Solanum lycopersicum: one gene and its partner. The protein of the gene in region 2 binds, or shares a complex with, the protein of the main gene of each other region. Links are inferred from orthologs where the notes say so. Each region holds a gene or a part of one and is shown on either strand. Other genes may lie near its edges.

The links. Proteins that work in one complex are often made in the same cells at the same time.
Region 1: structural maintenance of chromosomes protein 4 (region 2) and condensin complex subunit 2 share a complex: the UniProt entries of both Arabidopsis thaliana proteins name them as parts of the condensin complex. The link is inferred for Solanum lycopersicum from reciprocal best matches to the Arabidopsis thaliana genes SMC3 and EMB2795.

What each region holds. Positions count from the first base shown.
Region 1 is NC_090806.1:62,344,342-62,347,993, reverse strand, and holds the end of condensin complex subunit 2, read right to left. Parts: coding exon 3,499-3,652; intron 3,416-3,498; coding exon 3,385-3,415; intron 2,922-3,384; coding exon 2,782-2,921; intron 2,146-2,781; coding exon 2,044-2,145; intron 967-2,043; coding exon 766-966; 3' UTR 501-765; downstream 1-500. UniProt on the Arabidopsis thaliana protein: Regulatory subunit of the condensin complex, a complex required for conversion of interphase chromatin into mitotic-like condense chromosomes.
Region 2 is NC_090801.1:66,527,670-66,531,924, reverse strand, and holds the start of structural maintenance of chromosomes protein 4, read right to left. Parts: upstream 2,801-4,255; 5' UTR 2,423-2,800; coding exon 2,270-2,422; intron 2,152-2,269; coding exon 2,062-2,151; intron 1,759-2,061; coding exon 1,657-1,758; intron 1,578-1,656; coding exon 1,401-1,577; intron 1,245-1,400; coding exon 1,114-1,244; intron 836-1,113; coding exon 757-835; intron 677-756; coding exon 519-676; intron 279-518; coding exon 203-278; intron 46-202; coding exon 1-45. UniProt on the Arabidopsis thaliana protein: Central component of the condensin complex, a complex required for conversion of interphase chromatin into mitotic-like condense chromosomes.

The DNA.
Region 1 (3,652 bases), on a different chromosome or scaffold from region 2:
AACTTTTTCTATGTGTTCTCAAACTTCTATAGTTGTTAAATTAGTCATACAAAATATGTGTTTCCCTCTATTTATACACATCAGTCTCAATTTTAAGTAATTTACTTATGTAATAAACATTCCTTCAAAGACCGGATAGATCTAAGTCATGGTAAGTAATCTCTTGCAAAACCTTTTTATAAGGCAGGTTGCAATACGTCCCATAGTTCTCTATCTAAGATAGATAGTCCAAGTAGGTTTCTAAGGATAAGAATTAAGGAATGTCGGTGTCAGTTCAAATGTGATAATATATACAGAAAACGTCTAACAAAAATATGTTCAACTGTTCAGTTCAAAAAAACCCATAATTTAAGTGTCAATGGCTTCATCAACCGCTTTGTAATACTTGCTCTATTTGGGCCTATAAAAAATCATATCAAAAGCTCAACAGAAGTTCAACTAAATTTTGCTATATCCACATTGAAAAGATTCAGTTATTTTATTTAGCGTACAGAAAGGCATAAGCACAAATACATGGCTGCGTCAATCTAATTAGCAAAATAAATGTAGTAAGTACAATATCAGCAAAAGCCTGAAAATTGACAACAATTCAAAAGCCAACTGTTGACAATATCTGATAATTTACACGAATTAACTAACCTATAAAGCACTACAGAAGAAAGGATCCACCACAAGCAGCATATGCTTGAATGGCCAATCTACAAGTGATATACATTACAGTAAGAAATCCAAAAGCTGAAAGAATAAATGACTTAGGCCACAGCATTAGGAAGACCGTTCGTGAGTTTCAAGTTGTATACTGAGATCATCCAAGCCGTGACAACCTTGTATCCGTAATCCATGTTCATTAGCAAGATGCAGTAAGCAAATGAAGCATAAATGAGGAGATATTGCATCGACGGATGTTGATGCTTTGCATTCGTTTGGAAAAGCAGCCAAGATGTGCTTGAAAGATACACCTTCTTCCTGCACATTACCATGTGAATCATTCAGGATATAGATGTCTGACAAACATGCTAAAAGGTAAATGGATAAAGCCCCGTCAATTAGAATGTTATGCTGATCAATGATAAGAGAACAACCCTGGAGGAACTGCTTAACAAAGGGAGTCTTGAACCGCATTAATTAAATAAAATTGGCTAAAGAAATTGTCATAAAGTCAGCCAATTTAGTAGTTCATTTATAATCTCATTAATGACTATGCAGTTATATTCATTTGCTTTACAGCTTCCCACCCTTTTGAGGGATTTAAGTTGAATACTGGAGTAAATCAAGTATGTAAATTTTCTAGATATTTCATCAATCAAATTCAGACCTTAACAGACTATCGTACAATTGCTCTGGCACACCCTTTTATTGTTTAAATGATAAACAAGTCTAACTAATATCGGATGTTTAGCTTCCAATTGATTGCTTCCATATTAGATGTAATCAATTAGTTCAAAACTGCATATCCAACTAAGATAAATGAATATCCACTTGTCAACTATATTATACTACAGAATGGAGAAAAAAAATGGATCACTTGCTCATCTCCTTAGAACTATTTTCACTTGCTACTATTTAAGAAGAGCCAATATCAAACGTTTGACCTTAACAATCCCTGGTAAACACTAAGTAGGTGTTTGGACATGATCTGATTGAGATATAAGAAAAGTTGTATTTGAAGTTGAAGAAGGGGTATTTGGAAGTTAGAAATTGTGATTGGACATGAAAACAAGTTTAAGTTTCATATGTACAAGTTGAATGAAAACATGAAAAACTCAAACTTCAAATTTGAAGTTAAATAGCCGGTCAATTTGATAAACAAACAGTTGCTTGAAATAATCTACAAATACCATTTCAAATTTCCGAACCAAAATCTATGGCAAAATAATAATAATACTCTCCTTATCAGTTGATGTGGCACTATCACTCGGCATGGTGATGAGAACGAATACTAAATTTGTTGTATATAAGAGGATATTCTACATGGGAAAAATGCATAAATTCACTAGCAAGAAGTAGAACACACTACCAGTGAAGTAAGAAGTTTGAACTCACCTCAACTGATGTTTGATTCAATTGGTCCCAAAGTGTTTCCTTAAGTGCTTGAACATCTACTTGTTTGGATGTTTTATCATACTGAACTTCAATCTTGTTTACCTGTTAATTCAGACAAGGTCACTAGATGTTTCAGTTTGCTTCAAAAGAAGCCCTCCATCTAGCAAATTCTACAGAGGAACAACATCCCCTAGTAACTGTGCAACGAAAGATTTCTGTCGGAATAAGTTTCCATTTAGCAAGCAACATGAACATTTTGACATTTTTCCTCCCACATATTAAGTGACAGATAACACAATTTGACGTTTCTTCTCTTACGTTTGCCTAAAGAATAAAGGAACTAATGCTTATTAATGCTGCAAATGTCCTTGATGAAGTATATTTTCTTTTCAACATAAACAATGACTTATTAACGATAGTACCAAAGAGCCACAAGAAAAAAGAAAGAAAGAAACAGGTACAGCAAAACCTTAATAGAACAGCTAAGGTGCAAATTTCTTAAAAGCAAAAATCAGTGACAGGGTTTGAAGTGCCTGGTACTCATAACATGATATTTGGTAGTAACTGGTTAAGTACAAGTTGATAAATGTTTAAGTCATAGTTTTGCAGGAGATCTCACTCAATTGTATATATCATACTTGATCAATTGTTGGCCTAAGCGTCGAAAGTTACACTAGGAGGAATCGAGATTGCAGAACCACAAACATATATAGTCAAGATTTGCAAACAGGAACAAACCTGGCGGGGTTGAGAGACAAGTGTACTTGATTCCTCCACATCACTAAATGTGTTGCCATCATCAAAAGCCTCAGGAAATCCACCATCATCATCCCAAGATGGCATGGCTCCAAAATCTTCACTTTGTTGACCAGCTTCATCTACACAAAGAACCATGCAACTCAAGTCACATAGTAACAATTTTTTCATCTGCCACAATACGTGACATTCCGATTTTTTATGAAAACTGGTAAATATACAGCAACAGGAGTACGTTAATTCTATAGGCAGTAGAAGACACAACCTATGAAATAGTCAAGAAGCCAATAGAGAGCATTCATATCTAGGAAAGTAGGATTTACAAAAGACATCGCAAGAACTCTTCTAAATTCAACTCAAAAGCAGATGAAATCATTTAAAGCACTTAATTGTCAAAAGCCACAGTAGTGTCACTGCTCTAGTAGGTAAGATGACCTAGCAAAAATGCATTTGAATTCAAATTCAACATTTGCAGTTAAAAATCAACTGCAAAAACAGAATCTATCACTCATTAATGTTATACATATCCATAATTATGTCCATGTACAAAGTTTTAACAGTTGATGGCCATAAAAATTATCTCACCTGGGATTTGCTTTCCTCTCCTTCCAAGGCACTAAGGCAAGAGAATACAAGCAATCAGAATGTATTTTTAAGGTAGTCAGCAAATAACAAACTCATCAAAGTGACGAGACTTACCGTGACATTGGGTCGGAGAAACAGCTTCACAAGATTCTCAGGTTGATAATGACAATCTTCTGGAAGTAATCTGTTACACGGTGTTCTATTTGCTGGAAGGAGTAGTAACTTGGGATTCTTTGGAGGAGCAAAGACATGCAATAGATCAGTGTCC
Region 2 (4,255 bases):
TTCCTTGAACTCATCCTTGCAGCGCCTCAGATCGTTATCAAGCTCCTACAAGTTTTGAGCAAAACAAATCTGAATTATTTGACCATTGTAATAGTCAGATTTAAAACCATAATATCGTAATGCTTACGTCCTCCCAAGGAAACCACCTCTTTCTTAATAACAGGATAAATATGCAATGGTATACACACTTTGTACTCCATACCTCTTGTCTTTTCAGAAACTTCGAATGTTTTGACTCAAGGTCCTTCAATGACTTGCTATTTTCCTTAATTTTCTCCCTGAAAAGTTTTTTAAAAAATTCATTGAGTGTTGAATGAAAGCACTACTGTAACGAAGGGGGATTGTATTGAAATGAAGAAACGTAACTACAGGCACTGATAGAGGAGTTCATCTCTTTTCTTGCAACAAAACTAAGGGAAAACAAAGAAGGGAGGGAGGTTCCAGATTTATCCCAAGTAAACAAAAAAGAAAAAAAGCACTATGTTCTTGCATAGCCCTCAGAAAATATAGTAAGCCACCTTTCACTTTTAAGAATCTCTTCTTGTCTAGAAATGTTCGCCTGCATCTCTGTAAATCGAGTTGAATTATCTTCAAAAGCCAATTTTGTTGCTTTCTCTTGCCATTTGAGAAGTGATAATTCTTTAAGCATGTAGGCTTCTGCGTCATTCTTCACTCCCTATTATTGAAGGAATGGACAACATAAACACATTTCTAAGAGCACAACAAATCATAAATTATGTAATGGTCTAATCTTACCTCCAAGTTATCTCTTTCTTTCTCAGCTAACTTAACCATTTGAACAACACCAGACCTTCTTTCATTGAGGACTTCTAGCCTATGATAGCATCAAAAAATAGTGAATGCAGATTCTAGAGGTATCAAGTGCATCTTTTTAGGCACACAATCTTCTTACTGAGTACACATAACACACTCATGAGTAAATTAACATACAAAGCTATAAAAATAAGGATGCAAACCATACACAAGGGAGAAAGGAAAGAACATACTGGTAAGGAAAAGAGCAGCATAACTATTATGGTATCACAAGATTTAGTTTGAAACTAAAAACGTTTTTTCTGCCAAAAAGAAAATCATTTCACAGTGAGAACTAACTGCTTGAATGATTCATCAATCTTCTCAACATATTTGTCGGTTCCGATAATATCCTCTAAATACTCAAGAAAGCCTTCATCATGTGGTCCTTGTCCTCTAGGCTTCATCAGTGATATTTGTTCAACCTCACCCTGCAAAAAAACCACCTATTTAGTGTGGTTCGTTCAAGAAACTTCTACATCTCTATGAGAAGTTTGGATTTTTGAAAATTCCATGGACATCTCCACATGAATAGAATCCAAAATTTGCGAAATTAACAAAGATCACATGACAAAAACAATATAGACCTGAAGAATCAGAAATCGGTTGTTATCTAGATCAATCCCTTTCCCTTTCAACATCTTAGTGACCTCTGTAAAGTTACTTGTCCGGTCATTGATATAGTACTTAGAGGAATTATCTCGAAATGCCACACGTGTGATTACAAAATCACTTCCACGAACAGCCTCATATGTCTCATCATCCTATTTAAACAATAGAAACACTAAGAATATAACACAGATTCTAAATAGTTATCTCAGAAAGAGGAAAATCCACAATTACCAAATCTATAATTTCCTGAAAATGAACAGACACGCCAGCACTTTCCAAATTCTGATGGTTACTTGAATTGTGGATGAGCTCTGACACTTTGTTTAGACGCATCTGCAGAGTTAATCATTCAAGCTCAAATTTCAATAAGCATGCAGATGGAATGGTCCATTTTAAAAGGCTAGTTTTCCCCGAGCTCCAACTTAGCAGAGCTAACAGCAGTTTCCAGTCATACAGGTTAGTAAGTTTTACATCAAACGAAACTAAGCTAGTGATCAACTAATTTTGTAGCATAGTCAACTTTTACTTTATTCATCAAGAGAATAATATTTTAGAAGTTATGACAATGAATTATCCAATTTTATCATAATCAAGGTGCCAAAAAACATGAAATAAAAAAAAAACACATAGTCTTACCTGTTTGGCCCGCTTTCCGAAGACGAAGAGCATTGCGTCGATGACATTACTCTTTCCACTACCATTAGGACCAACAACTGCAGAAAAACTCTGTACAGTAGAGAATTTTATTACATAGAAGGAATTAACTTAATTTCTAAAATATTCAATTACCACCTAATTCCTGAAATATTCAATTACTGAAAAATGTGTAAAAGCAAACCCTAACCTTGTGGAATGGGCCAACGCGCTGTTCGCCGGCATAAGATTTGAAGTTTCTCATCACCATCTCTTTAATGAATAGCCTCGGAGGTCTAGATCCAGGATGAGATGACTCATTATTGGATTCGTGGGAGTTCGAGAATTCCTTATCTACGGCCATTTTTACTCCCGGAGAATAGCTTTAGGCTGTACTGAAAAGAAGAACCGAAAGACTTGCTACTGAAGGTCAACTCCAGCGAAGTGCTGGAGTAGAAAAGGAGTCCGGCGAAGTGCTGGGGTAGAAGAGGAGCGTGAGAGAAGATTTGAACTACTACTACTATTTTTTAAAATTAAAAAAAAGTGGTAGCGCGTAAGAATTTAAATTTTTAGCCAGAACAACTAGTAATAGATGGGCGGGAAACTCCGGTAAGATTTAGGCTCTCATAATGGGCTCTTCTAAGCCGAAGCCCAGACCAGTAAATTGAACCGTTGAACGTCGTAGACGGCCTTATGAGTATCGCGTCGGCCTAATTTCCTGAAGCCCAAATAATCCTTTCCTAGCCTAAATCTTTCTAGGAAAAATTATATATAATAGCAAACTAATAACCTAAAATAAATGAAATAGCTAGGTTTTGATTTAATTGTGCTCCATAGCAAACATTAGCTAAAATTTGTCAGCGTCTCTCTCCCAGAAATCTCGCTCGCCACTCTCCATTCTCGCTCGCCTCTCTTGCTTTATACACATAAGTGTATAATTATGTTTCTGTTTTGTATAAAGCGAGAGAAAATCGTATATACACATGCAAAAATATATAACTTCAAGTTATACACTTAATTATGCAATTTACATACATTTTAGTTTAAATATTGCAGAGAAAAAGACCAACGAATTATACAATTGCAGTGAAATACAATTTTCTCTAGTTTTATATAACAGAAGTGTATAAATTGTGTTTCTGTTTTTGTATAAAGGGAGAGAAAAATATATATCTTCTTGCTATATACTTATAATTATGCAATATACATACATTTTAATTTAATTCAACTGTATGCAAAGCAAATTTTATAAAAATATTGCAGCGAAATAGGCAGCGAATTATACAATCGCAGCGAAATAGGATAGCGAATTATACAATTTAGGCCAGCGAATTATACAATTTTGGCCAGCGAATTATACAATTGTATATGTATAGCGAATTGTACAATTTTATGTTTGCTATAGAACGCAATTATGCAAACTTTGTTATAACATACAAATATAAATTTTTTTGCTATATATGAAAATTATCATCTTTGTATGCATACTAGGGCTATAAGGTTTGAATCTCAATTTCATTTGAAATCAGTGTATGCTTACGAGATTAGCTTAAAATTATAATTTCAAAATCACCAGAAATCAAATTGTAATTTCAAAATTTATGAACTCTTAAACGTGACTGTTTAGTTTAAAGTTTGTATCATATGAAAATGATTATTTTGAAGACTAGCTAATTAGCAATATTATTGATTAGTGGGTCTTTGAATAATTCTGAGTATTTGAAATTTTGTAATAGCATGTAGTTGCAGACATCCATTTGTAAAGTGAAAACCAAGACGTCATTTATTAATGTGATGCCTTAAAATATTTTTATGCCTTGTTAATGAAGTATGATTTAGGTTTTGTTTGAATTTGCTTAAAAAAATAGTTTTTAAATTAAAAATAAAAAGTCAAATTGAAATAACTTTTAAGTCAAAAAAAAAAAGTATGGAGAGACTTAGGGTCCGTTCCGATGGACTTAATAAAAGCAGCTTTAAAAAAGTACTTTTGAAAGTGTTGAAACTTATTTTTAAAATAAGCAGTTATGCGTTTGGATAAAAGTGCTGAAGTTGCTATGTCAAACGTGAAAATGGAAAAATGGAAGAAAGAGATGTTAGGGTTATGTTGGTAATTTGGAGATTGTAAAAAATATTAAGGGCAAAAAGATAAAAATGTGGTCAACTTAAAACAGCTTATAAGCTAAAAAAAAACACCTTT